Linked DNA regions of Cricetulus griseus. The protein of the gene in region 2 interacts with the protein of the main gene of each other region in a pairwise test. Links are inferred from orthologs where the notes say so. Each region holds a gene or a part of one and is shown on either strand. Other genes may lie near its edges. The genes, in order: Enkd1, Mkrn3, Fam110a, Polr1c, Tchp and Psma1.

Evidence for each region.
Region 1: the proteins of Mkrn3 (region 2) and Enkd1 interact in binary tests that used the Homo sapiens proteins (3 or more experiments, as listed by UniProt). The two-hybrid records come from large-scale screens. The link is inferred for Cricetulus griseus from reciprocal best matches to the Homo sapiens genes MKRN3 and ENKD1.
Region 3: the proteins of Mkrn3 (region 2) and Fam110a interact in binary tests that used the Homo sapiens proteins (3 or more experiments, as listed by UniProt). The two-hybrid records come from large-scale screens. The link is inferred for Cricetulus griseus from reciprocal best matches to the Homo sapiens genes MKRN3 and FAM110A.
Region 4: the proteins of Mkrn3 (region 2) and Polr1c interact in binary tests that used the Homo sapiens proteins (3 or more experiments, as listed by UniProt). The two-hybrid records come from large-scale screens. The link is inferred for Cricetulus griseus from reciprocal best matches to the Homo sapiens genes MKRN3 and POLR1C.
Region 5: the proteins of Mkrn3 (region 2) and Tchp interact in binary tests that used the Homo sapiens proteins (3 or more experiments, as listed by UniProt). The two-hybrid records come from large-scale screens. The link is inferred for Cricetulus griseus from reciprocal best matches to the Homo sapiens genes MKRN3 and TCHP.
Region 6: the proteins of Mkrn3 (region 2) and Psma1 interact in binary tests that used the Homo sapiens proteins (3 or more experiments, as listed by UniProt). The two-hybrid records come from large-scale screens. The link is inferred for Cricetulus griseus from reciprocal best matches to the Homo sapiens genes MKRN3 and PSMA1.

Annotation. Positions count from the first base shown.
Region 1 is NC_048596.1:181,988,378-181,993,475, forward strand, and holds the start of Enkd1 (enkurin domain-containing protein 1), read right to left. Parts: upstream 3,073-5,098; 5' UTR 3,009-3,072; intron 2,768-3,008; 5' UTR 2,753-2,767; coding exon 2,668-2,752; intron 2,588-2,667; coding exon 2,393-2,587; intron 1,777-2,392; coding exon 1,604-1,776; intron 1-1,603. Other genes in the region: CUNH16orf86 (uncharacterized protein C16orf86 homolog), read left to right, coding at 3,272-3,355, 3,573-3,808, 4,173-4,417, 4,515-4,924. UniProt on the Homo sapiens protein: Microtubule-binding protein which regulates microtubule organization and stability. Promotes the stability of astral microtubules and facilitates the proper orientation of the mitotic spindle.
Region 2 is NC_048596.1:135,056,386-135,060,367, forward strand, and holds Mkrn3 (probable E3 ubiquitin-protein ligase makorin-3), read left to right. Parts: upstream 1-1,182; 5' UTR 1,183-1,297; coding exon 1,298-2,878; 3' UTR 2,879-3,798; downstream 3,799-3,982. UniProt on the Homo sapiens protein: E3 ubiquitin ligase catalyzing the covalent attachment of ubiquitin moieties onto substrate proteins.
Region 3 is NC_048599.1:28,036,252-28,041,228, forward strand, and holds the start of Fam110a (protein FAM110A), read left to right. Parts: upstream 1-1,917; 5' UTR 1,918-2,131; intron 2,132-4,977.
Region 4 is NW_023276806.1:255,712,110-255,717,085, forward strand, and holds the start of Polr1c (DNA-directed RNA polymerases I and III subunit RPAC1), read right to left. Parts: upstream 3,299-4,976; 5' UTR 3,207-3,298; coding exon 3,138-3,206; intron 3,023-3,137; coding exon 2,951-3,022; intron 738-2,950; coding exon 630-737; intron 546-629; coding exon 413-545; intron 1-412. Other genes in the region: protein YIPF3, read left to right, coding at 3,507-3,587, 4,143-4,340, 4,481-4,587. UniProt on the Homo sapiens protein: DNA-dependent RNA polymerase catalyzes the transcription of DNA into RNA using the four ribonucleoside triphosphates as substrates.
Region 5 is NC_048597.1:94,317,392-94,322,302, reverse strand, and holds the start of Tchp (trichoplein keratin filament-binding protein), read right to left. Parts: upstream 3,100-4,911; 5' UTR 2,955-3,099; intron 2,358-2,954; exon of another isoform or gene 2,323-2,357; coding exon 2,129-2,322; intron 1,784-2,128; coding exon 1,573-1,783; intron 1-1,572. UniProt on the Homo sapiens protein: Tumor suppressor which has the ability to inhibit cell growth and be pro-apoptotic during cell stress. Inhibits cell growth in bladder and prostate cancer cells by a down-regulation of HSPB1 by inhibiting its phosphorylation.
Region 6 is NC_048596.1:86,388,138-86,393,217, reverse strand, and holds the start of Psma1 (proteasome subunit alpha type-1), read right to left. Parts: upstream 3,121-5,080; 5' UTR 2,973-3,120; coding exon 2,970-2,972; intron 1,574-2,969; coding exon 1,529-1,573; intron 1,004-1,528; coding exon 902-1,003; intron 798-901; coding exon 694-797; intron 1-693. UniProt on the Homo sapiens protein: Component of the 20S core proteasome complex involved in the proteolytic degradation of most intracellular proteins. This complex plays numerous essential roles within the cell by associating with different regulatory particles.

The DNA.
Region 1 (5,098 bases), about 47 Mb from region 2:
AGGACAGCCTGAGGCTAAGCAGCAAGCTACAGCCTCAGAAAGGAGTGAGCTGGAAGTGGTGGTCCAAACCTATAACCTCGACATTTGAGAGGTTAAGGCAGGAGGAATATTAAAAGTTCAAGGCTAGCTGGGCATTGGTGGCAGATCTTAGTGAGTTCGAGGCCAGCCTGTTCCTACATGATGACTTTGGGGCTAGACCAAGCTACATATTGAGACCCTGTTTCAAAAGAAAGTAGTAGGGTTGGGGGAGCTGGAGAGATGGCTCAGCAGTTAAGAGCACTGGATGCTCTTCCAGGGGACTAGTATCCAGTATCACATGACAGTTCACAGTAGTCTAGAACAAAAGTTGCAGGAGATCTGATGCCACCTTCTGGCCCCTGTGACACATAGACTTGCAGGCAAAATACCCATACACATAAAAAAAAAAAATTAAACTAATTCATTTAATTTTATTTTATGTGCATTGGTGTGAGGGTGCCAGATCCCCTGGAACCCTCATAGATAGTTGTGAGCTGATATGATGGTGGGAATTGAACCCAAGTTTTCTGCAAGAGCAGCCAGCAATCTTAACCCCTGAGCCATCTCTCCAGCCCCATAATTTTTTTTTTTCAAAAATCAATTAACTAAGAGAAAAAGAGAGAAAGTGGTATGGTAATATACATCTTTTGTTTTGTTTTGTTTTGTTTGTTTTTTCAAGGCAGGGTTTCTCTGTGTAGCTTTGGAGCCTATCCCGGCACTTGCTCTGGAGACCAGGCTGGCCTCAAACTCACAGAGATTCGCCTGCCTCTGCCTCCCAAGTGCTGGGATTAAAGGCATGAGCCACCAACGCCCGGCTGGTACTATACATCTTTAATTTCAGTACTTGGTAGGTGGAAAAGGAGAGTTAGGAGTCAACTCTAGTCATGTACACAGAGTTTGAGGACAGCCTGGGCTAGACAGAGACAGAGAAACTGAGAATGAATTAGTAGGAAGGCTGGGCGCATAACTTAGTGAGTGGTACACTGTATGCCTAAGGTGCAAGAGACCCTGCATTCAATCTGCAACACTACAAATAAATGATGTTGACAAGTAGCTTAGGTACTTCTTTCAGATATGTGTCAAGATAGCTTTCAGCTCTAATTGTCTACATATTGAATTATAACTATTATCCCCATTGCCTTGACCCCAGGACTTCTTTCTACCTGTGAGGTTTCATCTCTATGGTCTCATCTCTTCCCCTAGCCTAATTTTTTTTTTTTTTTTTTTATTAGTTCAAATTAGGAACAAGCTTGCTTCAGATGTCAATCCCTTCTCCCTCTCCCTCTCCTCCCCCCAACATCCCACCTGCCCCTAGCCATCCCCCCTCCACTCCCCAGGCAGGGTAAGGCCTTCAAAAGGGGCTCCCCAAAGTCTACCACATCATCCTGGGCCAGGCCTAGGCCCTTCCCCATGTGTCCACCTAACCTAATTCTTACTTGTCCTGATGTCATCAGCAGCTCAGAGAAGGTCCACCCCAGATGTCTTAGCCTTTATGATCCCCCTACACATACCCTTTAAGTTAGATCAGGGTATAGTTGTCTGTTGGCCAATAGGGACAATATGTCTGGCTACGAGGAACAGATACCTTCATCCTGGCCTTGACTCGGGACTCGACATTGTCATACTTGGGTGAGCGCCACAGTGCCTTCAGGGGCTTAGGCTGGCCCTGCTCCCGGCTTCGTTCTTGATCTTGGAAGCGCCTCTGAATCTCTCTGATCCGCTTCAGGTTTTCCTTCTCATGGTCTTTTGGATCCTTCCCTGGGGAAAAACTGTTGCTAGGGACAACTCTACAAATGGCCATGGGACTTAGACCACACAGGCTCACACTGTATCCTTTGCAGAAATTTCTCCCAGACAATCTGGTAGATGCCTAGAATACAAGAGGCCCTGGGTTTCAATATCCAACATCACACACACAACATTTAAATACAACCAAGACCTCTTTATGTAAGCTAGACTCCATACACACAGCACTATTATCATCTTAATCTCTCCTTCCACAGTGTTCCTTCTGGTATCTTCTACATTTTGATAGTGATACCATTACCTTGTCCTGTCTTGTTTATTGCCTCCAACTGTTCCACTCATACTTTTAAAGTCTGTTTTCCCAACACCTATAGGGCTTGGCACAAAAGCAGGCTAAGTAAACAACGTTCCATCGAGGTGTGAATGCTTGAAGCTAGGATTACCTACATAAGAACGGAACTCTGATCCTGTTAGGAAGTAGTGCATTTCGGCCTCTTTTTGTGCTAGGGAAACTAAGACCCACAAAAGTACATTAATTACCTGGGCTCAAGGCAATTAAGAAGCATCCTGTTTTAATTTCTGCTTTTGACCGCCGAATGCCTCGATACCACTTCTGGCAAGGACTTACTCTTAGGAGATACCCCTGAACCAAGGGATATGCCCTCCAGTTGCAGCAGCACGTCTCCCACGCCTCGCTGGCCACGCTCTAGTATCTCTCGGGCTCCAGGCCTGATGCGGGGGCCACGAGAAGGGCTGAAGTCCATGTCGCGACCTGAAGTCAGCAGGTCCAGCTTCAGTGCGTTTCCTTCCAGGCGCCCTTGGGCTGAAGAGCAAGACGCGGTGGAAAGCCGTGCTCAGTGGCGGCGCGAGCTACTCGCCACGCCGTGGGACCCCGCAACTCACCCGAGGCCGGCCGCCGGTAGTAGTCCGGGCAGAGCGTAGGGTCTGGGGGAATGGGTCCAGAGATGCTGGATGGGCCTTCGCACATGATCCTATCGCAGCCCTGCAACCGTGCAACGAAGCCTGCTGCGCTGCGCAACTTCGGCCCCCAATCCCTGTTGGGTGCTTCCATCCGCCACCCGAGCCCTGCAGCCCCGCAGTAGCCCCCATTCCCGACCCCCACCCTCGTCTCTCGCCCAGTCCCTAGGCTCAGTCTGCGCCACCATCCTGCTACCGGGATCCTGGCCGACTGCCCTGAGGTGTTCGCGACCCCTCCCCCGCAACACCCCAGAGGGGGCTCTCACTGGAGCAGTTTTACCGCCAACTGTTGCAAGCTAGTAGGAGTTGCTGTTGCTTGGCAACAAATGACTTCCTGAGGTCAGGGGTCAATAACTTCGGCGAAAAGCCTTCTGGGGTTTGTAGTTCCAGGTTAGGAACTATTTTTAAGTCGCAGGTCTCACCTCCCAGCGGGTCTACCCTACCAAGACTGAGTACACCAGTCCAACCTCCTCTGAACCCGCCGTCTTCTCCTAGCAACCGTCAAGGGATGCACTGATTCCGCACAGCCATGGCCTCAGCAGGGGCCCAGAGGCAGCCAGATGCCCAGAATGGGGCGACAGTAGGATTAGCCCAGCTTGCAGAGATCACTGAGGTGACTCAGGCATTTTCGAAGCTAGGGAGGTAGAAGCGGTAGGGCAGGAGAGGGGGACTGTAGGTGACCCAACCCCCTAACTGCCTGGTCGAGTCCTGCAAGTAGAGGGGCCTGAGCTGGTAGCCTTCATGTCATATTTTGTGGCCAATACTGGACTTTGAATGACTGGTCCCTACAATACTTTGCCTGGCCATTGGCTACTCTGCGTATCTTCCAGTGTCCAGGACCAGGACCAGGAGAAAAGTGTCTGGTGCCCGCACATGAGACCTGCAGAACCCCAAGTGAAGACAAGTATTCAGTAGGACACAGCTTCGAGCCAGAGCTCCAGGAGGAAGGAATAAACCGGGGAGAGGAAGGGCTCAATCCAGGGGTGGAAGCAGGAGAGGAGAGAGGACCCAAGCCTACATCATCCATCGTGAGGCCCAGTCATGGACCCAAGAGAAAGCCTATCAAGTGAGGGGGTTTTCAGAGGGAAGGAGTTGCAGGGCTGAAGGGGGTGGGGATCTTACACCCCGAGCTTCCTAAATCCTGATTCCTTCTAGGCAGATATCTTTGTCTTCTGCAACTGCCCCAACTCCCAACTAGAAACTTCTGTTTCTCTAGAAAAGGAGTCTAAGAGGAAGAAAAAAAAAAAAAAAGATTTGGGGCTTTCAGGTCTTATAAGAGACAGTGTTACCATGAGTAGCAGGTCTCTATTGGGCTTGGAGCTTCATTGACCAGGAAAGGGCAGCTGACTAGTCCTGGGGTTGGTGGGCAGGCTGGGCTAGGCCCTAGGCTCAAGACACAGGAGCCAAAGACTGAAGTGCACCTCTTTCAGGCCTCTTGTTCCAGGCTTGGGCACCCCAGCCCTCCCAGGGCCAAGCTACCATGCCCATCCTAGGGCTGAAGCTGAGCTGCCACCAGGGCTGCTGCTGCAGAAGGAGGAGCCAGAGGGCAGTCACAGTGAGTCCTCACTGTCTGCTAAACAGCACAAAAAAGCCAAGAAACGCAAGAGTGTAGGGGCTCCTGTGCCCCCAGCTTTAGCTGGCACATCCACACCTACGGAGACGTTGGGGCTGGAGCGTGAGTGGCAATCTCTGGGGGTACCTTTTTTTGTCTTCTGGGTCTGACATGGCACCACCTGATGCTCCAGCCTTTGCCCTGCCTCCGGTTCTTGCAGGAAAAGCCCAGCGCCTGCGGCCACTGTACCAATATATCAACTATTGCAACCCTGAGCTGAATCAGGCAGGGGACGGGGACAGAGAGCCAGAGGTGGAGCCTGAGTCGGAGTTGGCCCTGGCTCCTGAGGAGGCGGGTGTGGAACAGCTGCAGTTGCAGGCCTTGCTGCCAGTGACAGGTGAGCTGGGCTTAGGCCTTGCTATGCCCTGCCCAAATACACTAGCACCACTCACGCACACTCTTCCTCCTCTAGGACAGGAGGTTGGAGAGCAGCCTGGGGGGTTGTCTAGTCTGAGGATGAGTGGCAGCCTCAAAGCTGAGGTGGATAAGACAACCCAAGTGGATATTGACAAGATGCTGAGTGTCTGTGCTGCTCCTCTTGTACCCCCCCTCTCCCCTCAGTACAAGTGACCGCCCACCCGCTGAGAATGTCTCTCCTCTAGGCCTAAACTAGGGCTGCAAGCTCAGGCCTAGGCCATCAGGTGGAGGAAGGAATTCAGACTTTGTACTTGGGAATTCGGGCTCTCTGAAAATAAACATTTCCCCTTTATAAAATTGTGATTCCTCAAATATGATGCCTGGATT
Region 2 (3,982 bases):
TTGATAATATTCTTACTTGTTTAGTATTGTTTTGTTGGCTTTGTTTAGATGCGACTTACACTTTGACTTGGATGACTATATCGTAGACATTAAGAGTTTCTTTAAATTTAGGCTATAAGATTCCCTCTAATAAAATTGTTTTGGGAAGCAAAATCCTATTTTTAGATAAGGAAGGAGAGTAAATTAAATATTTGAACATTGCGAATTCAAATAATCACGTACGTAGGGGAAGGGAAAAAAGCGTGATTATTAATTAAAAGCCAGCATAAACTACATTTAAAAAGTCATTGTGTGACCATGGGGAAGTACACTTAGCGTTTTAGAAATACATATAAGAATTATTAGCCCAATAGAATAGATGCGTAACATTAGGAAAAAAAAAAAAAAACCCACCCAAACTAATAACTCAGTGTGGCAATGGAAATGAGACATGTTAGGCTGGTATTTTGAAAGCCTAGTGCAGGATGCAAAGTAAGGCGGCAAACAAAGGGTCTGCCTGAATCCAGCCAGCGGAGAAAAGTGAAAACCTGTGTCCCCCTCGGAGTTTTATTAAGCCATCATCAATGCTGGCAGAAGCCCAGGCTTCTACTTTGCTGGGCGGATTACAGTAACAAAGGCAGGGGTCTGAAAGGCGCTAAATAGCTCCAGTCACACAAAGGGTCCCCTTGGGATTCAAGCGCACTGAATTAACCCTTCAGGGGCACACAGCCCCGGAGAAGTGCTGCCGTCTCTACACCCGCCGGAGCACAAAAGCCGCGGCAGAGACACTCCCGGATTTTAAAACTCAGCCGCCCATAGACAAAAGACGATTAGACAGGGAAATGATTTGTAACGTGTGCGAGTGAAACGCCATAAAAACCTCCAAGAGCAGTCGCGGCACAGGCGGCGACAATGGCGTTTCCTCACACAAAGAGAAAATAATGAAATGCGGTGTGTGCAACCGAATCCTGCGGGGGGGGGGGGGCGGTGTGGAAACCCGGGCTAGGGGCTCCCGAATCCCGCTGGGAGCGGCCGACCGCGGACCGCGGGTCCCTAAGCCGATAGCGGCGGGAGAAAAACATGGCTGAAGTAACTTCCGCTTTCACACCGGCAATTGGTGTCCCCACCGGAAGTGTCCGTCTGCCGCTCTGCGGGTAGGAACCAAAGTTCACAGGGGGCGGGTTTCTGGTGGGAAGACAAAAATTGGTGCACTTCCCTCCGAGAATCAGCCGATCGGTCCAGCTCCAGCTCCGCCGATTCAAGCACAAAAAAGATATAATATTAGACAGTTTTTGGACACTGTCAGGGGCGCATAACAATGGAAGAGTCTACAGCTCCCTCTGGTGCAGCCCCAGGTGCCGAGGAAGGTGCTGTGGGGGGGGCGGGTGTGTCCGCCCCCCCCCCTCCCGAGTTGGAGGCTTCTGGAGCTTCCGAGGTACTCATTTCGGCCTCTCCGCCAGAGGCATCGGGCCAGGCACAGCGCCTTGTGGCTCCTAGGCCGGAGAACCGACGCTCGGCGAGCTTGGGGCCCGTTCCGCCCGCAGGGGGCGGAGCCAGGTCTGGTTCCGACCACCACAGCGGCAGCTGGACAAAGCAGATCCTCTGCAGGTATTATCTGCATGGGCAGTGCAAGGAGGGCGATCACTGTCGCTACTCTCACGACCTCTCTGGGCGGCGGAGAGCTAGGGGGGGGCAAGATTCTCAGCCTCGGGCCTCTGCAGATAGAGGGCCCAAGATGGCCACTCACAGGGAGCCCCCGACTCAGGAAGAGGCGGAAGCCCCCCCTACTGCATCCTCCAGCTCTTTGCCTCTGATTGGCTCGGCTGCTGAAAGGGGCTTCCCCGAAGCTGAGATTGACAATGCAGGCATTGGCTCAGCTGGTGAAAGGGGCTTCTCTGCAGCAGAGATTGACAATGCAGGCCTAGCCGCAGCTGCTGCGGGAGGAGCGGGTGCTGAAGGCTGGGAGGGGGCAATTGAGTTTGTTCCTGGACAGCCCTACCGAGGTCGCATGATCCCCCCGCATGGTCCCGAGGCTCCCCTGGCGAGCCCGGAAGTTGAGAGAGAGCACATGGCTATGGGCATGGGGGCGCCGCTGCCGCTTTGCCGCTATGCTGCCCGGGGAGAGTGCCTCCGCGGGGCGAGTTGTGCATACCCCCATGGAGAAATATGCGACATGTGTGGGCAGCAGGCCTTGCACCCTTGGGATGCGGCCCAGCAGGAAGCTCATAGAAGGGCCTGCGTTGAAGCCCATGAGAGAGATATGGAGCTCTCCTTTGCTGTGCAGCGCAGCATGGACAAAGTGTGTGGCATCTGCATGGAGGTTGTCTATGAGAAAGCCGACCCCAGCGACCGCCGCTTTGGCATCCTTTTCAGCTGCAACCACACCTACTGTCTTAAGTGTATCCGCAGGTGGAGAAGTGCCACACAGTTTGAGAACAGGATCAGTAAGTCCTGCCCACAGTGCAGGGTCTCCTCTGGCTTTGTCATTCCTAGTGAGTTCTGGGTGGAGGAGGAAGAGGAGAAGGAGAAACTTGTGCAGCAATATAAGGAGGGGATGAGCCAGAAAGCCTGCAGGTATTTTGCTGGAGGCCTAGGTCACTGCCCATTTGGAGAGTACTGTTTTTACAAGCATGAATACCCTGAGGGCTGGAGAGATCAGCCTCCGAGGCCAGGTGGTGGCGGATCGTCAAACGCATACTGGCATCAAGTTTTGGAGCCTGTGCAGTTGCGAGAGGGAAAAGTGCTGTTCAAAAGCCGTAAGAAGGAGCTTGCTGTGCTTCGCCTGGGCAATCAGTTGCTTAAGAAGTTGCTTTGCCTGAGAGGCAGTTTTTCCTTCTCTGATGACCGGTGGCTCTTGCTTCAGTTCCAGCTGGAAGAGTATTTCAATTTGAATCTGTAGTATCATGCTATCGCATGTGGTCTAGTCTGCTAAGGCTCTGTTGTCTGCTGTTGCTTACTTCCCTCTATTGACTGACAACCCTATTGCTTTCAAAGGCTGTTGTGGCAATCTTTATGCAGTACTGCTGTTTTCGCTTCTATTTCCCATTTCTTCTCACTAGGATTGTGATGTTTCTCTGTGTTACAAGATAAGAAGAAATCTTAAAAGTATTGTTTGGTGGAATTAATATTTCTGTCAGCTGATGACTTGTGGTGTCTTTTTCCAACAGGATTCAATCACTTCTAGTCTAGTGTTTACAGTTTCTCATTGTGAAGTCCCTTAAGAGTAAATGTGACAAGGTGACAAAAGTCTTTAAATTATGAGCTTTTTGCTATATAGCCTTAAAAATGCAACCTTACAGGGCCTTGCAGCTGCTGTCTGTGTTTGTTTACATGTCTGTTTCTTCCCTTCTCTTTCAAGTGCAATTGTTAACTTGTGGTTACTTTGTGGTTCTGTTTTACTTGACCAAAATAAGGTGCATATGTTTACATGTTTTTATCCTGTTTGGCTTGATGTGAAATTATTTATATTTGGAAATATATATTTAAGAATGATATATATGCGTATATGTATATGTATACAAAGATGTATTTGAAAGAAATTGGAAACAAATAAACCCCATAATATATATGTTTGAAGTAACGAAATAAATGCAGAACTGAAAGCTTAATGTTAAATTCTAAGTGTATGGATTGTGTGTGAATTCTGTGGACAATTTCTCTGCCCCTGCACTGATGTCAGTGATTAGCATCTAATAAAAATGACTGCTTTGTGTATTGGACTCTTTTTAAAAGACTTTTAAATCATGAATCTCATAATTCCTGTGATAGCATTCACAATTTCTCTGTTGTAATCATAAAATGGATGTGCCTCTGATTGTAGCCACTGTCTCATTTTTCTTATCTGGTTCTTTTTATACTTTAGACGCAAAATACTTTTGACAAAGGTTTTCATGATAAAAAATTATAAGACCATCAGAGAAGATGGTAATAAATATTGAAATTAGTCAGAATATAAGAATGAAATAAAAATGAGGCATGGGAATTTTAAAATGTTAACCATAAT
Region 3 (4,977 bases), on a different chromosome or scaffold from region 2:
TACCTCTATACCCATAAAATTAGCACAGCCTTCAGACCTCATCAGAGAAGCTTCTTTGTATAGTGAATGGCAGTAGAAATTCACAACTGGTCGAAGGGCAGAGAATAGGTGTCTGTGGAGTGTTCAGCCACAAACGTGAAATCTGTATCAAGAGGGAGCAGAAAGACTGTCAGAACCAGAGGTCGGAAAGAACTCTTCTGGACACTCCAGGACTGCCACACCTGTGGTCACGGCAGCTGGGTTGCCTGTACAAGATCAAGCCCTTAATATTTCAACACAGAGCAGGAAGGGGCTTATGAGCCCCCACTCCTAGCTGAGGAGCTTTTCACATTTGATGGCTTCTGGGGAAGGAAAGTCAGTTGCTTTGTAAAGGGTGCAGCCCTTGGTGGTTTGATCACAGCCCAGTGTATAGCTCTACACCCATGAATAGTTGGGCAGCAGATTGGACTTGGTGGGTTATAAAAAACAAAAGGAAAGGAAGGAGAGAATGAGGATGGATGTAGGAGGAGTTGGGGGGGAAAGTGGAGCAAATATGATCAAAATACATTGTATGTATGTATGTATGTATGTATGTATGACATTCTCAAAGAGTGAATGGAAGCATATTTAAATGCAAAAGAGTTAGCTGCTGTTTTGTAAATAGGAGATGCTTTTTGTATGAATAATATGGTTATGTATTTACTACCTATTCATGCTGTAAGGAGTGCTTTGAAACATGCTTAAAACATAACACTATGGGGCTGCAGAGATGGCTTAGTGTTTGAGAGCACTGGCTGCTCTTCCAGAGGACCTAGGTTCAGTTCCTAGCACCCACATGGCAGCTCATAACTGTCTGTAACTCTAGTTCCAGGGGATCCAACAGTTATATAGACATACATGCAGGCAAAACATCAATGCATATAAAATTAAAAATAAATAAAATTTAAAAATCCGGCAACACTTCCTAGCATTCCTCCATTATTTTAAAATGCTATTTAATTGCATCATTTTAAGTTACTGCATAATATTCCTAACCAGAAAAATGTAGATAGTTGAAGGTAGGTATTGATAAGATTTATGTAGAAAGATCAATTTAGCTTCTTCCCAGGATGGATATTATATACTGTAATTGGCCTGATTTTTTTTTTTTTTTCTGTTTTGGTTTTTTCGAGACAGGGTTTCTCTGTGGCTTTGGAGGTTGTTCTGGAACTAGCTCTTGTAGACCAGGCTGGTCTTGAACTCACAGAGATCCTCCTGCCTCTGCCTCCCGAGTGTTGGGATTAAAGGCGTGCGCCACCAACGCCCGGCTATTGGCCTGATTTTGATAAGCATTGTGGGAATTACTGGTGTGCACGTTTGAAAACTAACTGAATTACCATTGCAGTAGGGTAATGGAGAGGGAGAGGGGATCCTGGAAAACACAGAGAGGAAGCTGCAGAGTTGGGAGCAGGACCTAGGTTGGCTGCTGGGCAAGTAATACCAACTCGTCGGTACGCTGAGGCAGGCAGATAACAAGTTTGAGGGCTACTTGGACCACAGCGTGAATTTAAGGTCAGCTTGGGCAACTTAGTGAGACCCTGTCTCAAAAGAAAAAAGTGAAGAGAGGCCAGTATGTGCTAGCTATATGTCAAGGCCCTTCCTAAAAAAGAAAAAAAAAAAAATGGGACTAGGGCCGGTGCAAAACCAAACAAATCTGGGACTAGCAACTCCTGCAGGTGGGGACCGAGGGAATCCCAGCTGGACGAGAAGAAGAAGAAAGGGAACGCATTGGCCGGCAGGGCCGGGGCAGCCGGAAGGCCGCGCGGCCAGCTGGGCTCCTGGCGGCCACCGTGGGCCAGCCCCGCTCCCATCTGCTGCTCCTGAGGTTGCCTGGCAACTCGGGTGGCGCGCCGTTCGAACGGAAGCGAAGGGCCAATCAGGAAGTCCGGGGCGAACCATTGCAGCGACGGGGACCGCTCGCTCACTTCCCTTTCCTCCGGGCTCTGGGGACCTTCGTCCGGCAGGACGGTAGGACAGCCAAGGCCTGCCTCTCGGAAGAGCCCGCCTGTCTCAACACGCGACGGCCGCCTCAGAGCTCTGGGACCAAGCGCTCCAGCTGTCAGCCTCGGCAGCTCGCGAGAAGCGCGGGGGACCCTCCAGACACAGGCGGCAGGTGAGCATGGGGGTAAGGGGGCTCACAGGGTCTGGGGTAGGTCCACGCACCATTCGAGGCGAGTGTGCCAGCACAGAGGGCTGACCGAGGGTCCACGTCTATCTAGTGTCCAGCCCAGGGGGCCAGCGGAGGATCCGGCTGTTCCCCTGTCCCACCCTGCAGCCTCCACTCCAGGCAGATTTTCTTTGAGAGGTTCAGAGGGCCCCTGCTGGTCACTCTCAGGGGCTTGTTGAATGTGGCTTATGGGATCTCAGGGCTAGGCTACCTCTACCCCAACTGTCTTTGGAGTTTCCCTTCAGGACATATGGCCTTCCGTTCCTCAGGGACTCTGGCAACTTTTCTGCCTGAATGGTCCGGAATCCCAGTGCTGCCCTCTCAGAGGGCCTCCCTGGGGGGCAGGCTAGATTCCGGAGGACAGAAAATCCAAATGCCCTGGAAGTCATGTGGGCCTCTTGGGAGTCTGTTCCTGTGTGTGGTGTGTAGTGTGTGTGTGTGTGTGTGTGTGTGTGTGTGTGTGTGTGTGTGTGTGTGTACTTTGGTGTGTGTGTACTTTGTGTGTTGGAGGCGGGTGGATCAGCCTCTAAGCCAGAGTTGCTAGTCACTGGACTTTAGAGTTGGGTGCTGGGTAGGCCCTCCCAAATGGAGCATATAATTTAGGCTGCCTATGTTCCCCGCTCAGGTTGCTGTCTGTTGTTGATCTCTTTTCATAGATGGGGAAACTGAGGTTCTGAGAAGTTGAGCCCATTGCTCAAAGTCACAGTCTTACCTATTCAGAGAAGAACTGGATTTGATGGAGGGCCTCTTTTGTGGGGAACTGCTCATCCTCCACTCCTCATTCTGGCTCTGGGGGTAGTCTGTGTTTGCCTGTCTGTCCATGTGTCATCTCCTCCTACCCTGAGGGTCTTGTGTGGCCCAAGTTGGCTTCAGTCTTACTATGTATACTAGGCTGGTCTTGAACGTCCCCCTGAATCTGTCTTCTCTGATGACAAGCATGGGTCCCCACTACACCAGTTTTTTTGTCATTTTTAGGATGAAACCCAGGGCTTGGTGCGTGCTAAGCAAGCACTCTACCAACTGTGTTACACCCACTGAACATATACCTCCTGAGCCTACACCCCCTGCCTCATTTGTTCTTTCTACATTGTTTGGCTTCCTGTGGCCGCCTTGTTTTTCTCAGTAGTGTCTGTTCCACATTGTACACTAGGTGTCTTACTAGGCAGTTTATTGTCTTCTCCACTTGAATGTGTCAGACAGGTAAGATGCTTAGCACAGTCACAAAATGTCAGGGTGCCCGAAACTTCCAGAACCAAGATGATCAAAGCCAACGTCTGTTGGCCATTTGCTATGTTTTGTGCCAGGGGTGGAGCAGGGTAGGGTGATGTCAGCTCTGGCAGACTCTGGCAAGCACAGGCATGGATGTTACACACACACACACACACACACACACACACACACACACACACACACGCATTCTGCACCCTCCCACCCCATCCAGCTACCTCATTTTTAGGCAAAATGACAGGTGCTACATTGCGGCCATGGCTTGTTGCAAGCGGGAACTGGACAGATGCATAGTGGCCAGTAGGGGCTGATGAGAAATAACCGGAAACTCCTTAAGTACTGATGTGGCACCAAGAGGAACGTGGGTTACCCAGCAAAGGCGCTGAGTGAAAATGACACACACGACACACTTTGTAGTTTCGACCGTGGGACAGCTAATTCAGAAGCCACTAAGTAGACATGGTGATTACATCTCCAGAAAGCTATGAGGTCACTGCTCTGCCTGTGATTTGTCACTGGCTGTGTGACTTTGGGCAAGTTTCTTCACATTCTGAGCTGGGGATAAACACTGCATGTGAGCTCAGGCCTAGACAGGGTACTGTAGGACAGGAAATGGGCGTGGCCACAGGTCTAACTCAAGCCTTACCTTCCCAGCCTTTCCCTTCCTTCTCCCTCTTCCACTGTAAATCTGCCTTTGCTCCCATTTTGTCAGGGTGCAAACTGAGTCCCCAAAGTTTGAATTAGAGGAGGAGCATATATTGGGGGCGGGGGTCCGTAAAGACGCTCACTGTCCTAGGCATCCACACCCACTCATAACCCTCTCCCTGAGGTTCGTGCAAAGCCACTCTGAGCAAGGCTGCCTCATAGGCAGGCTGGGGCATGATCCTGGGGAAAACTCCAGAAATAGCTTGGAACCTGGCCTGCCCTGGAGAATGCCCAGTCGGGTGTCTCTGACCTGGACAGCTGGGCTGGCTCTACCCCACTGCCTGGAGCCTTCTTGATCCTCCTCAGCAGCAACTAAAGGCCTCCCTGTCTACCAAGCCTGAGCCAGGTTTCCTTTGAAAGGACAGAGGAGCAGGTGGGGTGGTGCAAAATGTCGTAAAAATGGTCAACCCTAGAAACCCACCTTCTTCGGGGAAGAAAGGAAGCAAAGGGAAGAGTGAACACACAGCTGCTTGGGCTCAGACCACTTGCAATGTACTCCGTATTTTACCATTCTGAGTTGCGATGTACCTCCACCCTATGAAGTGAGGGGCTTACTGCTTTTATTCCATGAACACATATTCCACATAACAGGCATGTGGAAGTCAGAGGACACACAGGAGTAGTTCTTATCTCCCAATGTGGGTTCGGTGGATTGAACCCAGATCTCCAGGCTTGTATGGCAAGCACTTTTACCCCAAGCCTATCTGATCCCATCTAACCACTTTGAAGTTTGCAGAAACTCCATACCCAATAAACAGTCACTTCCCACTCTCAAACTCACCCTGGCAAACACTACTCAACCTTGTTCCCAGTGTTTTGACTCTATATACATAGAAGCATGCCTTGCTGTATCCAGCTTA
Region 4 (4,976 bases), on a different chromosome or scaffold from region 2:
CTCATCACTGCCTGTGCTGGGAATAAAGATGTACACCATGCCTGGCCCTACCTCTAATTAATAATAGGGGCTGGTATGAAGGCTCACAATAAAGGTGTCAAGCAAACCTGGAGACCCAAGTTCAACCCCTGAAATCCACAGAAATACGTAATCCAAAGCTGTCCTCTGACCTTCACAGCTGTGTGTACTTGTACACAGCACACAAAGTTTTTTAAAGAATTAAAATATATATCTGAGTGCTGGCACTATGCTGCAAGCTTTTACATATAGACAAAATTAATGTAAGGGCAAGTGTTCTCCCAGGTGAAAACCAATGTACAAAATGTTGACTGCCTCGACCAAGGTCTCACAGTGGTGAGCCTGGGATCTGAGCCCACAACCCACTTGAGGACAGTCATCTTCTCAATCTCACCTGGGTTCCTATATTCAAACAGACGTGGATCAGCAAGAATGGGGATGAGCCCCAGGCGGTGAGCAAGGATCTCATCCTGGACAATGGATGTGTTATTATAAACCAGAACCTTTTCCACTGCCATTGTTGGCACCTGTTCAAAAAAGCAGAATCATCCAACTGCAACACCAACTGATCTCCCTACCTGGAAATAAGAGACCCACACGTCTTCTTTTACCTCAGCTAACAGAATTCTCCGGAAAGCATTAGCAATGGCAGCATCAATTCCCACCATGTCGAACTCCAGTGTATTTTCATCCATATGAACAACATCCACACGGAAATTCTAGAGGGATAGAGAAAAAACTGATGGAACACCTGTTTCTCTTGTGTAATTCAAGCCTCCCTCTGTGATTACTCCCACCCTGGCAATGTCCCTCCATGTATGTCCACCCTCTCTCATCCTAAAGCCTTCCTGTGACCAGATGATCACTAGACTTTTGTCTTCAGCCCTGTTCTTGAGTTTTGTAAGAAGCCTGGCTGGTTTTCTTTCTTTTTTAAATTAAAAAATAAGGGGGGGTCTCCCTACCTTGCCCTAGCATTTCTGGAACTATCTATGTAAACCACAATGGCCTCGAACTCACAGGAATACTTACCTATCTTCTATGGACTAGGATCAAAGGTGTACATCACTAAGACCCTAAGCAAAGCCGGGCATTGGTGGTGCACACCTTTAATCCCAGCACTGGGCGCGCGCGCGTGGGGGGGAGGGGGACACAGGCAGATCTCTGTGAGTTCCAGGCCAGCCTTGTCTACAGATGGAGTGCCAGGATAGGCTCCAAAGCTACATCCTGTCTCAACCCCCGCCCTCTCCCCAAAAAAGACCCTAGGCAATATGGCTCCACAAAAACAACCCACAGAAGCTGCTACACTGAAGAGCAGAACGTCCCACACTGCTTAGACAAGTTAGTCCTGCATTTGTTTTTATTTTTCAATCCCTCTTTTTTCAAATTCTACTCCCTTGACTTTTGAACACCAATTTAGTTCTCTTATCTGATATTCTAAATTCTTCCTCTCACCCTGTAAATGTTACTTTCTCCCAGGTTCAAATCTCTTGGCTGACCTCAATCACACTCCTGGCTTAAGCAACTACTCAGCAACTCCCCAAACTTGGGTTCATTTTGATCTCACTTCAGGCATCATTCACTTGACCTACAGACTTCACATACAGGAATTTGAACATATTATCACTCTTTTTCTCCTGTTTATCAACTGACACAATCAGCCATCAAGACACTTCCCTAATGGAGCTGACGAGATGGCTCAGCAGTTAAGAGCATTTGACTGCTCTTACAGAAGAACTGGGTTTGGCCGGGCGTTGGGTGGCGCACGCCTTTAATCCCAGCACTCGGGAGGCAGAGGCAGGAGGATCTCTGTGAGTTCGAGACCAGCCTGGTCTACAAGAGCTACTTCCAGGACAGCCTCCAAAGCCACAGAGAAACCCTGTCTCGAAAAACAGAAGAAAAAAAAAGAAAAAAGAAAAAGAACTGGGTTTGGTTCCCAGCACCCACACTGTGGTTCATAACCATGCATAACTCCAGTTCTGGGGACCTAACTAGACCTCCCTGGGTCACCAGTCACACAAATGCACAAATATACATGCAGGTAAACACATAACCCCCCCCCCAAAAAAAAAACTCCTTAAATTCCCCACATCACAAGGCCCTTTTTCACACACACACACACACACCCCTCACCAAAGCTATATGGTACATAGCTGTTAGTTCTCCTTTTGCTCCATTTCCACTACCAGTGGAATTTATTCATTCCCTCCCAGCTATGAAGGTTACAAAATTAGATCAGTCTACTGAAAAATTCTCTTTAAGCCAGGCGAGGTAGCTCATGCTATTAATCTCAGCGCTCAGGAGGCAGAAAGGCTAGTTTCATGACAGCCAGGGATACCCAGAGAAACCCTGTCTCGAAAAAAAAAAAACAACAGAGCTCTCTATTAACTTGCAGAGCTTAAGATAACACCCCAATCAGGGACGCGAGTTTAAATTTCCAGCACTCAACACTGTAACTGACAACAGGATCCGACACCCTCACATAGATTCGGACAAAACACCAATGTACATAAAATACAAATAAATTTTCAAAGAGAAAAAGATAGACCCCGGTCTTGTCTACCACTCGGGCCAATGTATTGACATCTGGCGATAATGAACTGCTGGAGCAGGCTCTGCGCAAACAAGCGTTTGCAACAATGCTCCAATTAGGCCTGCACGGCCTAACTGTTGGCCAGTCTTCCTTCACTGACCCGAGTCTCCGTCTCTCCGACGGACCGGATTAAGTCACCTACGGGATTCCTCTCCCGCACCCCGGCCGTGCTCGCCGCTCTTGTGTTTCACCGGGATCCCTTGATCACGTGGGCCTTCACCCCACCCGGGCGGCCTGGCCACCCAGCACCCAGCACATGGATGGCTCAGCACACGTTTTTGGAACGCGGCGAGCGTGAGCCGTCTGGTCCCCGGGCCGCCGGGACACCTCCCGCGCACCCACCTTCTCGAAGCGGTCCTGGTCCCAGGCGTCGTCGTAACCCGAGTAGTTACCGGGGAAGTCGGTGGTGTGGACCTAGAGCCAACAGATGTGTTCAGCGGGGCGGTGAGGACAAGCCGCAAGCCAGGTCCCCTCCCCTCCTCCTCCCCCATCCCGCCCCCGACCCTCCCGAGTTCCGCTCCGAGCTCACGTTGCGAACCCCGAACTCTCCCAGAACCACGCGCGTCCGCATCTCCTCCACGGCCTGGGCCGCCGCCATCGTCCACCACCCGCCTCGAGACGCCTCCGGTGCGCGCAGGCGTACTAGGGGCCCGTTGCCGTCTCCCTGGCAACGCCCCGCCTCCTGAACTTATAAATGTCGCGATATCCTGCCCCGCCCCGTCCACGTCCTTCACTTCCGGACGTCAATTGGGGCCAAACATCCGGGTTTCTCCTGTTTGCATTCCGGCTGATACTACCTCGCCCTCTCTCTTTCCTGGACGTTTCCTCCTTCTCTCCGGCCCGGGTCTCACGCTGGTCCCACGCCCGCGAGCTTCAGCGACGGAAAGCCTCGAGGGACATGGCGACTCCCGCGGCGCCGGCCAGCGGCGTCCGAAACGGAGCTGGCCCGGAGTGGGGAGGCTTCGAAGAAAACATCCAGGTATGGAGCGGTGTCCCGGCTGCCGGCAGCCCCCGGGCTGGCCGCCGTCCCCTCTCGCGGCCTGGAAGTCGGCTCCATTGCAAGTGGTGGCCGCTGAGTCTCCCACGCCCAGGTCTGTAGCGCTTGTGCTGAGGAGGAAGGGCCAGGCCGAGGCTGCAGCGGGCCTCGGGTCTCCGTGGCTGGGCGGCCTGTCTGGGTCAGGCAGGTGCAGGGCTAGAGGGTAGGATTGATTCCCTGGAGCCCCTAAAGGTGGCCTGTGTGCACATAGGCTTGCTTGAAGGTGGGTGGCGGCAGGTCGGCCCCGGTGCAGCACTTCGAAGCTTTGAGGGGGAAGGTAGGAAAACAACGTGAATTGAAGATGAGTAGTGTGTTTTCTGAACCACAAAAGTGTGGCGACAAGAGTTGTGCCAGCAGTGACAAGGAGGAGTTTGGCACGATGGGTAGCAATTCCAATGTCCTCATCAGTGGGAGAGCAAAGCCTCAAACCGTGCGATGAGCAGAGAGCAGAAGGGTGCAACAGAAGGCCCCGCTCTCTAGCAGCCTTTGTCTTCACAGGGCGGGGGCTCGGCCGTGATTGACATGGAGAACATGGATGACACGTCAGGCTCCAGCTTCGAGGACATGGGGGAGCTGCATCAGCGCCTGCGTGAGGAAGAAGTGGATGCCGACGCAGCTGCTGCAGAAGAGGAGGATGGCGAGTTTCTGGGCATGAAAGGCTTTAAGGGACAGCTGAGCCGACAGGTGGCTGATCAGGTAAGCAGATGGGAAAGTGGACCCATGTGTGTCCCAAGGTGACGTAGGTTTTCCAGGGAGAACCACACAGAAATCTGGCAAAGGCTGTGTAACGTTAACAGTCTAGAGCCACCAGTTTCATAATACCCATCTCCCTTCAGATGTGGCAGGCAGGGAAGAGACAAGCTTCCAGAGCCTTCAGCTTGTATGCCAACATCGACATCCTGAGACCCTACTTTGATGTGGAGCCTGCTCAGGTCCGAAGCAGGTGAGGAGTCTTCTCAGAAGAGTCTGTCCTCACATCTAGTCCCTCATCCAGACTGCAGTCAGATACTGAGCCCTGAGCTCTGGTGGTGAAAGTGTGTGCATGCTGCCCATCTTACCAGACACCGCGCTCGGACAGCACTTGCTGTGTCCTCATTCCTCCCCAGCTGGGACTCCTAGACAACTCTGCTGGCTTCTACCATGTGGCTACATAGATTTTTATTCCTGGTCGGTCTCTCCCGAGACCAAGAGCTTCTCAAAAGCAGACTCTGCTGTCTTTATCCTTTCTTTCTTTCTTTCTTTTCTTTTCCTTTTTTTTTTTTTTTTTGTATTTTATAAACTCTTTTCTCTCTGGCCACCTGAGTATCAGCATACTCATTAACTGCCTTCTCA
Region 5 (4,911 bases), on a different chromosome or scaffold from region 2:
ACACAAGTCTGGGGACAGGATATCTGAGCAGAATGGACCAAGAGCTAGCTAAAATCTGATGCTATGGCTGGCTTCCTTCTAGGAGTTTCCAAGTCCATAGCAAGTTGAAACACACAGACTGAGGCTAGTTACCATAGCCACTTGAAGATAAAATACAGTGTTCCCAGACCTTTGTGGAACCACAGAACTGAGCACAGGAAGGAGGAATCACTTGTAGTGATTTGTAAGGCAGAGAAGGGAGCTACCACATATCAAACACTCCCTGTAAAGACACTTAAGAGTGGGCCCTGGCTTTTTGTCGGCCCTCACTCTTGCTGGCAAACTCATTCACCCTGTTCTGTGGCCAGTATTAACTCCATTCTTACAGAAAGAAAACCAGATGTTAGCCATCACACACCTTTAATCCCAGCATTTGGGAGGCAGAGGCAGGTGGATCTTTGAGTTTGAGGCCAGCCTGGTCTACACAGCGGGTTCCAGGACAGCCAGGGCTACATGTGGTGGTGATACATTATTTATGATTTAATAAAAAGTGTCGTAGGTAGAGAAAGCAAAGCCAGTCATTAGCTCTTAGCTCTACCTCAGGTTGAAAGGGCTGTCCTGTCTCCAGGAACTCTTCACCAAGCCTCAGACTGCTGCCTCTCCTCAGCGTGGCTGGAGAATAAACCTCAGAATTCAGCCTGAGACACTGGGCTCCTGTCTTTTATAAACCTCTCTAGGGCTGGGATTAAAGACATGTGATCTCAAGTGCTGGGATCTAAGGCATGAGAGCTCTGTTACTCTTCACTCTTATGTAGGCCAGGGTGGCCTTGAACTCAGAGAGATCAACTTGCCTATCTCCTGAGTCCTGGGATCAAAGGTGTGTACCACCACTGCTTGGCTTCTACAGCTAAATAGTGGTCTGGCTTTGCTTTCTGATACTTCAGGCAATCTTTATTAAACATAAATGATACATCACCACAGCTTCACAGAGAAACCCTGTCTCAGAAAAAAACATAGCTGTCCTCCCCACCTCCGGCAAATCCTTAACATTCTACCATATCTGGTTCTGATCACAGGCTCACATTTTAAATGCTTGCCCTCAGCCAGGCACGTTATTCACCTTTCATCCCAGCATGAGGAAGTCAGAGGCAGCCAGGTCTCTGTGACTTTGAGGTCAGGCTGGTCTACAAAGAAAGTTCCAGGCAAACCAGGACTACATGGTGAGACACGTTCAAAACAGCAACAAAAAACCAACAGCAAAAATAATTGCTCCCCAGCTGGTGGCACTATTCAGAGGAGCCTGGGTGCCTTTAGTGGTGAGGAATTAGCTCGAGGAAGCAGCCCCCCCCCCCCGGCATGTCATTGAATGTTATAAACCAAACCCTACTTCTAATGGCTTGAGACCATCTAAAGCCAAGAGCTAAAATAGACTTTTTCTCCCTAAATAAATAAAGTGCTTTCCCCATGGACTCTTAGAATCATCTGGCCAACTCATCTGACCAAGGCACCCAAGAATAACCCCACAGATGCAACGGTCAGTTCAGCCTTCAGACACTCCCACTCTGCAACCTTGTTTGGGTCTAGGCTGGTTACCAGTTTCCTTCGTTCTTCTCGGGCTGACTTCAGATCCTTGTGCTGTTCCCTGATTTTTCGTTCCTGCAGGTTCACATTCAACCTCAGCTCTTCCAGCTCAGCGGCCAGCAGGTCCTGCTCCTCCAGCACAAGCTGCCTGAGTCTCTCACGGCGGGCTTCCAGACTCATCCTCTTCTCCTCCTTCATCTTCTCACGATGGTAGGCGTTCATGCTAGGTAAGGAGCCCACTGAGAATCAGCCACACCCAGGCCACAGTTTCATATGCATTTCTATATATGTTGGGGGGCGGGTATTTAAACACAAACACCTACAGAAAAGATGACTGATAGATTTTATCTTTCAAAATGCATGTTATTTCACTGGTTATTCTACACACACACACACACACACACACACACACACACACACACACACACACACACCACCCCATTTCCAGCTAGAATAGCATCACCATATAGATTACTCATGCTGTCACAAGCCACAGTACTTAGGCCCTGAGGCCACATGCCCCCAGCAGCTAATGGTAGGAATCAGCAGGCAGGACATTGATACTTGCCTCCTTTGGTAGGAGGTCTTGGAACTCCATTCGGCCAGTTTGGAGCTGTGGATGTCCGTAGTCTTGAAATAACGGCTGTTCTGCTCCCACTGCTGGCGAAGCTGGGCCTCCTGCTCTTGCTGGCGTTGGCGTGCTACCTTCTTGTCCAGGGGTCTCCGGGTGAGCCAATAAGAGGGCAGCGTGGGGAGCGCCATCTGAAGGGGACATCAGCGGGCAGAATCGAAGCCAGCTGCAAACTCAGGAACTTACTTGGATGGTCTCCTGTCTTTTACGAGGGCGCTCGCCCTTTGGCTGCACCTTTATAACAGCTTTAGGATCCACATTGCCACCCAAAACTTTACAACGAGGCCCAGGCCCGCACGTTTTAAATGATGTGCCACTGAGGCTGCAAATTATCAAATTAAATGAACCTGGACTGTGCCCGGCAGCGAGCCAGCCATTATCAGGGACGTTACCGACACAGACATCTTCCTGACAAGGCCGGGAAAGGCATAAAATGACAGGGGCAAGCAGGGCTCCGCGGCAGGCCCCAGCAGCCCCAAGGACTTTGGAGGCCGAAGCAGGACGAGATCACTTGAGTCCAGGAGTTCAAAGCCAATCTGGGCAAAACAGGAAGCCCTGTCCCCAGAGCAACAAAAGTAACTAAAGGCGATGACTTAGTTATCAGTGTGTGCGAGCACCGGACATGCACCCCATCCGGTGTCCGGAGACCTCCGACCAGCGAAGACAGCGGACGTCTCGGCCCAGCCTAGCCTCTGACTTGTGTTTCCCTGCACCCCAAGTTCTCCAAGAAGAGGCTCCGGCCTAAGCCCGAGCACGCGCTCACCAGATCCGAGAGTTCTGTGGCGCCAGCGGCAGCGACGCCAGCCGTTTCCCCTTCGGTTGCCCGGCAGCCCGCGGGACGACGGAGGCCGCGAAGGCCAAAGTACCTCCTGCACGACGCAGCCGCTCACCAGGAAAAAGAAGGGAAGTTGTTGTTCTGGCGCCCCCTCGCGGTAGGAGGAAAATCGACAGCAAGTGTCGCTAGGTGCCAGAGTGAGTCATGACCCAGAGTCAGGGTGGCGGTCCCCGGGGTGGGGGTGAAAACCAAGGGAATAGGAGAGAGGAGAATTAAGCCCATGTTTCTCAAATAGGGCACATCAAAATCATCCAGGGAGACGCCCCGAGGGAAAAAGAAATGATTTTCAGTGCTCCCTGGGTGTTGCCCGGTAGGCAGCAGAGGCCAGTAACAGCTGGTCTGGGTAATTACAAGTCTTTGGTAAATTCCTACTGATGTCTTGGATTACTGGTGGGTACAGAGGTTTTAATAACTGTAACTCACATGATTGCACGTATTTATGCATTAACTATTCCATTTTTAAAAAAGCAGGGCTGGGGAACTCCGCGATTGTGTGTGCTTAGCAAGTGCAAAGCTCTGAACTCACAATCCCCAGCACCCAGCACCCAGAATGCTGAGACATGAGACATAAGACTATAAGTTTATTATAAGGCCCGGCAGAGTAGGGAGACTAAGAGAAGAGGAACAGGGTAATGGCTGACTGCCATGGTCGGTCACCATAGAGAGACAGAGAGAGAGCATAGGTGGGAGACAGAGTAGAGAGAAAGCAGAGACAAAGCAGAGTGGGGAAACAGAGAGGAAACAGAGAGCATAAATGGGCAGGGACCTGTCCTTTTAAAGGGGTCCTCTGTATCTGCGTGCAGACTTAGTTCCCATGGAATCTTGGGCTGACCAGGGTACTGCCTGTTCCACCAGGTAACAGGAGCAGGCCAGCATAATGCCTGAACCTTTCATTCCCACCTCTACTTATTATTTTAAAAAGGTGGGGTGTTAGACATGGCAGGTTAAGGAATAAGGGCGTCGAATTCTCAAGACTGCTTCCTGCTGATGTGGGGGGCGTTGACCATCTTTGGGGGACCCGAGAAGGTTGGGGTGCTGCCACGTCCTGGGGAAGCTGGTTGTTTCATTGAAGTCCAGGCTGTATGGAACTCCCTGATGCCTCTTAGACCTGGCAAGATGTTGACAGAGCAGAGGACAAGGTTAAGTTTAGAAAAAAATTTTTTCTTAGATCCTGTCACTTGAGGGGAAGATTGTAAGATGAGGGAGGGGTTCCTGAGGAGTCCCAAGATGAATGAAGGGAATTTGGGACCGGGGAAAGGTTGAATATTACATGAAGTGAATCTGACCTGTTTGGATCTGATTCGGCTCCCTGGAACTTACAAGAATCCTTAGAGTTTGTGGAAACATAAGTATTAGACATGTTAGAAGCATATTCATGTTAGAAGCAACTTGGCTGAAAGTATTACCATTTAAAAATAGACAGATTTTTTTGGGGGGACCATGAAAAGCATCTTAATCTTGACCTTGTAGTTATGTTCCTATAGTGGTATTGTTGAACTTTACTATGAACAGTAGCATGAGAAATAGAGAAATCAGGAACATATTTCATTCTTTTACACTTTTCTATCTTCACATAGATAAACCCTAAAATACCTGTTCCTGGAATCTGTTTTGCTTTAAGCTGGCAAGACTGCCAGTCGTCAAAAGCATCAGAGTTCTTGAGAAGGATAAGATTTTACCTGAATCAATGATTAAAGTATAACAGAGACTTGCCAGATGCTGCATAGACAGCAACCCCCAAGGTCCTCCACCCATAGTAGTGGGCTGTAGGACGTCTGCCTTCTTGCTGATAGCATGTGACCTGTGGATTACAGACTTTGGGAAGACTCGCCTATCATTGGCCCAAGCAACGCGGGAAAGTCAATTCCCTTGTCCTCTTGTCCAC
Region 6 (5,080 bases), about 49 Mb from region 2:
ATAAATAAATCTTAAAAAAAAAAAAAAAAAAAAAAAAGAAGAAGAAACATCTATCTCTTACGGATAAGAGATTTGCCTGTTACTCTCTATTTCACACCCTGTGTTATAAATAAAATAGGTTTTAAGCTCCCTGAAGACAAGATCTGTATCTGAGTCATCTTTCTATACCCATATCATATACTACTAAGCTGTGTGAAAACAAATGTATAAAAAATATTAACCTATAAAAGAAAACTAGAATGGCTCAGGTCATCCTTAAGGCAAGGCATGTCCAGCTCTTAGGAATACAGGGCTTGAAACAATATACATGTCAACAACTACCTCATGCAAGGACATTTGAAAAGCATTAGGATGTTTAATAACACTACAAGAATTAGGGAGTGGGAATACTTAACAACACACCCAAATATTACAAATTACAATATTCAGAGGACCCAGATACAATTTCCAGTATCCACATGGCAGCTCACAATACCAGGGAAGCTAATGTCCTCTTCTGGCTTCTGAGGAACTGGGCACACACTGGTACACAATCATACATGCAGACAAAACTCTCATATGTATAAAATAAAATAATTAAAAATTATTATATTCTGGGAGACAACTTCCTGAAATATGTTACTAGGATATTTTCTAGTAAAATAAATCATTATGAATCAAAAGGGATACTTAATTTTTCATGGTCATACGTACCATAACAGTCTAGCATCAGCAGTCAGACCCGCAATTGAGATACCAATATGGTTGTCAACATGGAGAATTTTCTTCTGGTGAGCTGCAAGTTCCGACTGTGCCCTCTAAATAGAGACATAGTACGATAGTTTACAGCTTTGTTTATCAGTGAAATTTACATTTGATAGTTGTTTCCTAAAGGAGGAAGACAGTATATCATTCCACTTACCTTCAATGCAACCAACACTGCATGTGTTTTTGACTTTAGGCCAACTGTGGCTGAACCTTGTTTAACAGCTTCCATTGCATATTCAATTTGATGAATCCTGCCCTGAAGACAAAAAGAAAAGCACTTCTTATAGTCAGTCCTTAGATCCTTTTAACTAAAAATTTAAGTTTTCAGATCTTAGATGAGCATAATTGAAGTTCAGTTTTAAAACAAATAAACTATTTTTTGTTTTGTTTTGCCTTTTCAGACAGGGTTTCTCTGTGCAATCCCCTGCTTATCCTGGAACTCGTTCTATAGACCAAGCTGGCCTTGAGGTCACAGAGATCCACCTGTCTGCCTCCTGAATGCTGGGATTAAAGGTGTGTTCCCCCATTGAGCAGCTAACTAACTTTAAGCTCACAGCCTATAATTTCACAAGTTTTATTTCATTGTTTTTTAAAGATAAGGTCTTTTAAGCTGCTCAAACTGGCCTCCAACTCCATGATCTCTGGCCTCAGTATCCTGACCAGTAAGGATTAAGATATGCACCATCAAGCACAGTTTACAATCTCACAAGTTTCTGAACCTACTGAAGCCAAGAAAAGCCACTTCATAGACACAGCAGGAAAAAAAAAAAAAAAATCTTACCTGAGGACTCCAAACAGTGACATCATTGTCATACTGGTTTCGAAACTGAAAGTGAAACAAAGACAGATTACTATGAGACATTATAAACCTCAAATTTTAACATTAAGACATGTGCTTACATACGTTTTTGCTCCTGCAACTTTCCTGAGACATTACTACAGTTTGCAAGTCAAGTCTACCTTAACCATGAGCTGTTGGGATGAATGGTCTAGGGTCTTCCTAATTTCCTAGTCTGCCACTCTCCACAGCACTCTCCTTGGGCAGTCAGGGGCTAAAATATGTACATATCAACTTTTCTTCCTCTTTGCTTACACTGTTCTCTTATACAAGGCTCTAATAATTTGCCAAAGGCCTTTAAATTGACTCAAATGTCTATCTCTTTAAGGTTTCATTCTTTTTCTCTTGCAGCCCAGTTTGGCCTTCATCTGCCACGTACCTGGGAAGATATGTACCTGGGAAGATGACCTTGAAGCCCTGTCTCAACCTTGCAAGTGCTGAAATTCAGCTGTGTGCTATCATGATCTACTCTACACTTTTTTTTTTTTTTTTTTGACGAAGGTCTCTATACTCTGGCTGTCCTGGAACTCACTATGTAGGTCAGGCCAGCCTCAAACTCACAGATATCTGCCTGCTTCTACCTCCTGAGTGCTGAGATTAAATTCGTGTACCACCACACCTTCTATCTTTACATTATGATTAAAGTTATGTCTGGTTTAACTTTGTGTTCTCTTCTTGCACCTTGCCACTGAATGAATTAACATACACACAAATCCTAGGTAAAGAAGTGGGCACAAACAGCTACAGTGGCAGAACCACTACTGTTATAATGCCACTACTAAAGCAAGTGTGTGTGCGCGCTTGGGAGAACATTCCTGAGGGTGAGAGGATCAGAGTTCCTATGGCAGGCTCGACAGAAGCAGCCCGGGGCTCTTACCTTGTGAACCTGATTCCATCACTTCCCCTCTCATCTGTAACTGGTGACAAATCTAAGCATTCTAAGGAGTCGGATAAAGCCAAAAGGACCCATAAGGAAGATGGGCACTGTCTAAGGGCCTCACTGTCGGCTCAGGTCCGCGCTGGCGGTGCCGGGAGGCCAAGTGCATTCTCCACCCTCTCACTCCTATGCAGTCACGAGGGACCACAGGGTCGCCGGGAATCGGCCACGGAAGTTAAGTGGGGGAAGCTAGGGGGTAAGCGTGGCTAGCTGGCCGAGGAAGAAGCGTCTGGACCCCGTGTATAGTGGAGAAGCGACCCCAGAGGCCTCCCCGGCTACCGGCCGCTCCTCGTCGGCCAGGCCGCAGATGCTGAATCACTGCCGGAGCCCATCCGTGAGCCAAGCTCCCTCTCCCACCGCCCCGCGCCGCAGGAAACAGAGGCCGATCCCCGACCGAGTCAGCGGACCTCAGCCCCAAACCCTCCGAGGACCCAGGGCTCAACACACCATGGCTCCGGCGTGGCGACAATCAGACACAGTAGCCGACCCAGGAACACGGACCCAACTACGGTTCGGTGATCGTCAGGGAGGCCTGCCGAGTTTTGACGGCGGCAGCGCAGGGAGCACAGTCTATCCCAGAGCCACGGATCGGCGTTTAGCGCTCCCCCGCCCTCCAGCTGGGCTCTGGGTGGGCGGGGTCTGGTAAGGCTAAGGAACTGGGATTGGCGGGAAAGCCCGGGGCTCGCCTGCTTGTGCGCAGAGACAGTCGGGCGTGGCTGCTCGCCAATGCACTGACTTTCTTTGCTTTATTTCCCCCGGTGGATTGCAGATTCCCGCCGACTCTGGATCCACCAGGCTGAACGCAACCCAACTCGGGATGATGCGGCCGTGCCGCATATCATGTCGGTCACAGTCCATAGAGGTTTGGGGACTTGCCTGTCTGAAAAAGGCTGTAGAAAAAGCCACAGAACCGTAGTGTGTGCGTGTGTGTGTCTGAAAAAGGCTGTAGAAAAAGCCACAGAACCGTAGTGTGTGCGTGTGTGTGTCTGAAAAAGGCTGTAGAAAAAGCCACAGAACCGTAGTGTGTGTGTGTGTGTGTGTGTGTGTGTGTGTGTGTGTGTGTGTGTGTGCGTGTGTGAAAAAGGCTGTAGAAAAAGCCACAAAACTGTAGTGTGTGTGTGTGTAACCGTAGTGTGTGTGTGTGTGTGTGTGTGTGTGTGTGTGTGTGTGTGTGTGTGGTGTGTATGTATGTGGTGTGTGTGCGTGTATGTGTGTGGGGTGTGTGTTCCTGTTTCTGGCCTGGAATATCTTGAGTACTTGGACAGCCAGCCCATCCTTCATGGTTCCATGGTCATGTCGCCCATTTCATGAACATTACTAGCTCTTCTGGGACTTTGAACTTCACCAGGGTTCTGTTCTGATATTGAATATAGGCTGTCCACAACTAAATGCTATGCCTGGTAGATTAGGCCACTAGGGGGAAGCTGTGGGTTTTCTTACGAATTTTTAAAGAGCATCTTTTGATTTGTCCTCAAATGAAATCGAGACAGCTCTGCGCTTGCTGCCTACCTAACATATCTACAGACTGCTAATTCTTTGAAGAAAGGATAAGTGCCCAGAGTCGGCTAAGGATCCTTAAAGATCTGAACTTTGAAGGCGGAGCAACACGTCACTTAAATGTTCACGTTCAGAGCAATTAGTATCACCTTCTAAATATTTTCATGTATATGTATTTGTTCTCACATTTATTTATTTATATATTTTATGTGTATGTTTCTGGCCCTGCATACACTTATGTGAAAGTCAGAAGATAACTTGAAGGAGTTGGTTCTCTCCTTGCACCATGTGGATTCTGGAGATTGAACTCAGGTTCATGGTTTGGCAGCAAGTGCCCTAATCCTTTGAGCCATTGTGCTGGTCCCTGTTTTATTGTTGGTTTTTTTCCCCTTTTTATTTTTCTTGTCTTTTTTCTTTCCTTCTCAGTCCCTCCCCCATTTATATGCACTCAACAGTTTATGAGATTGCTTTGTTCTCTAAATTTACCAACACTGTCTCTTGTTATTTTTTTAGAATTTTTAAAAATTTTATGTGCATTGATGTTTTACCTGCATGTATGTCTGTGTGAGGGTGTTAGATTCCCTGGAACTGCAGTTATTGATGACTGTGAGCTGCCATGTGGGTGCTGGGTCCTCTGGAAGAGCAGCCAGTGCTCTTAACCATTAGCCATCTCTCCAGCTCAGGCTCTTGTTATTTTAAAAAAGTACTTCTAACTTTAAATTGATAAAGTTGTTTTGTTTGCCCCAAAGCAGCCCAAAACCTCACACATATTAAAAGTGCTTAATTTGTATTGTTGAATGAATAATGGATTTTGAATGAATGGGTAAGTTAAATACTCATTTAAAAATAGTTTCGCAACTGGAGAGATGGCTCAGCATTTACCTTGCAGAAGACTTGGGTTCAATTCCTATCACCCTCATGGTCCAGCTTACAATCACCTGTAACCCTAGTTCCAGGGAATCTGATGTCCTCTCCTGGCTTCAATGACATTTTTACACATATGGTATAGTTAAATATATGCAGGTAAAACACTCATGCACATAAAAATAATTTCAAAAAAA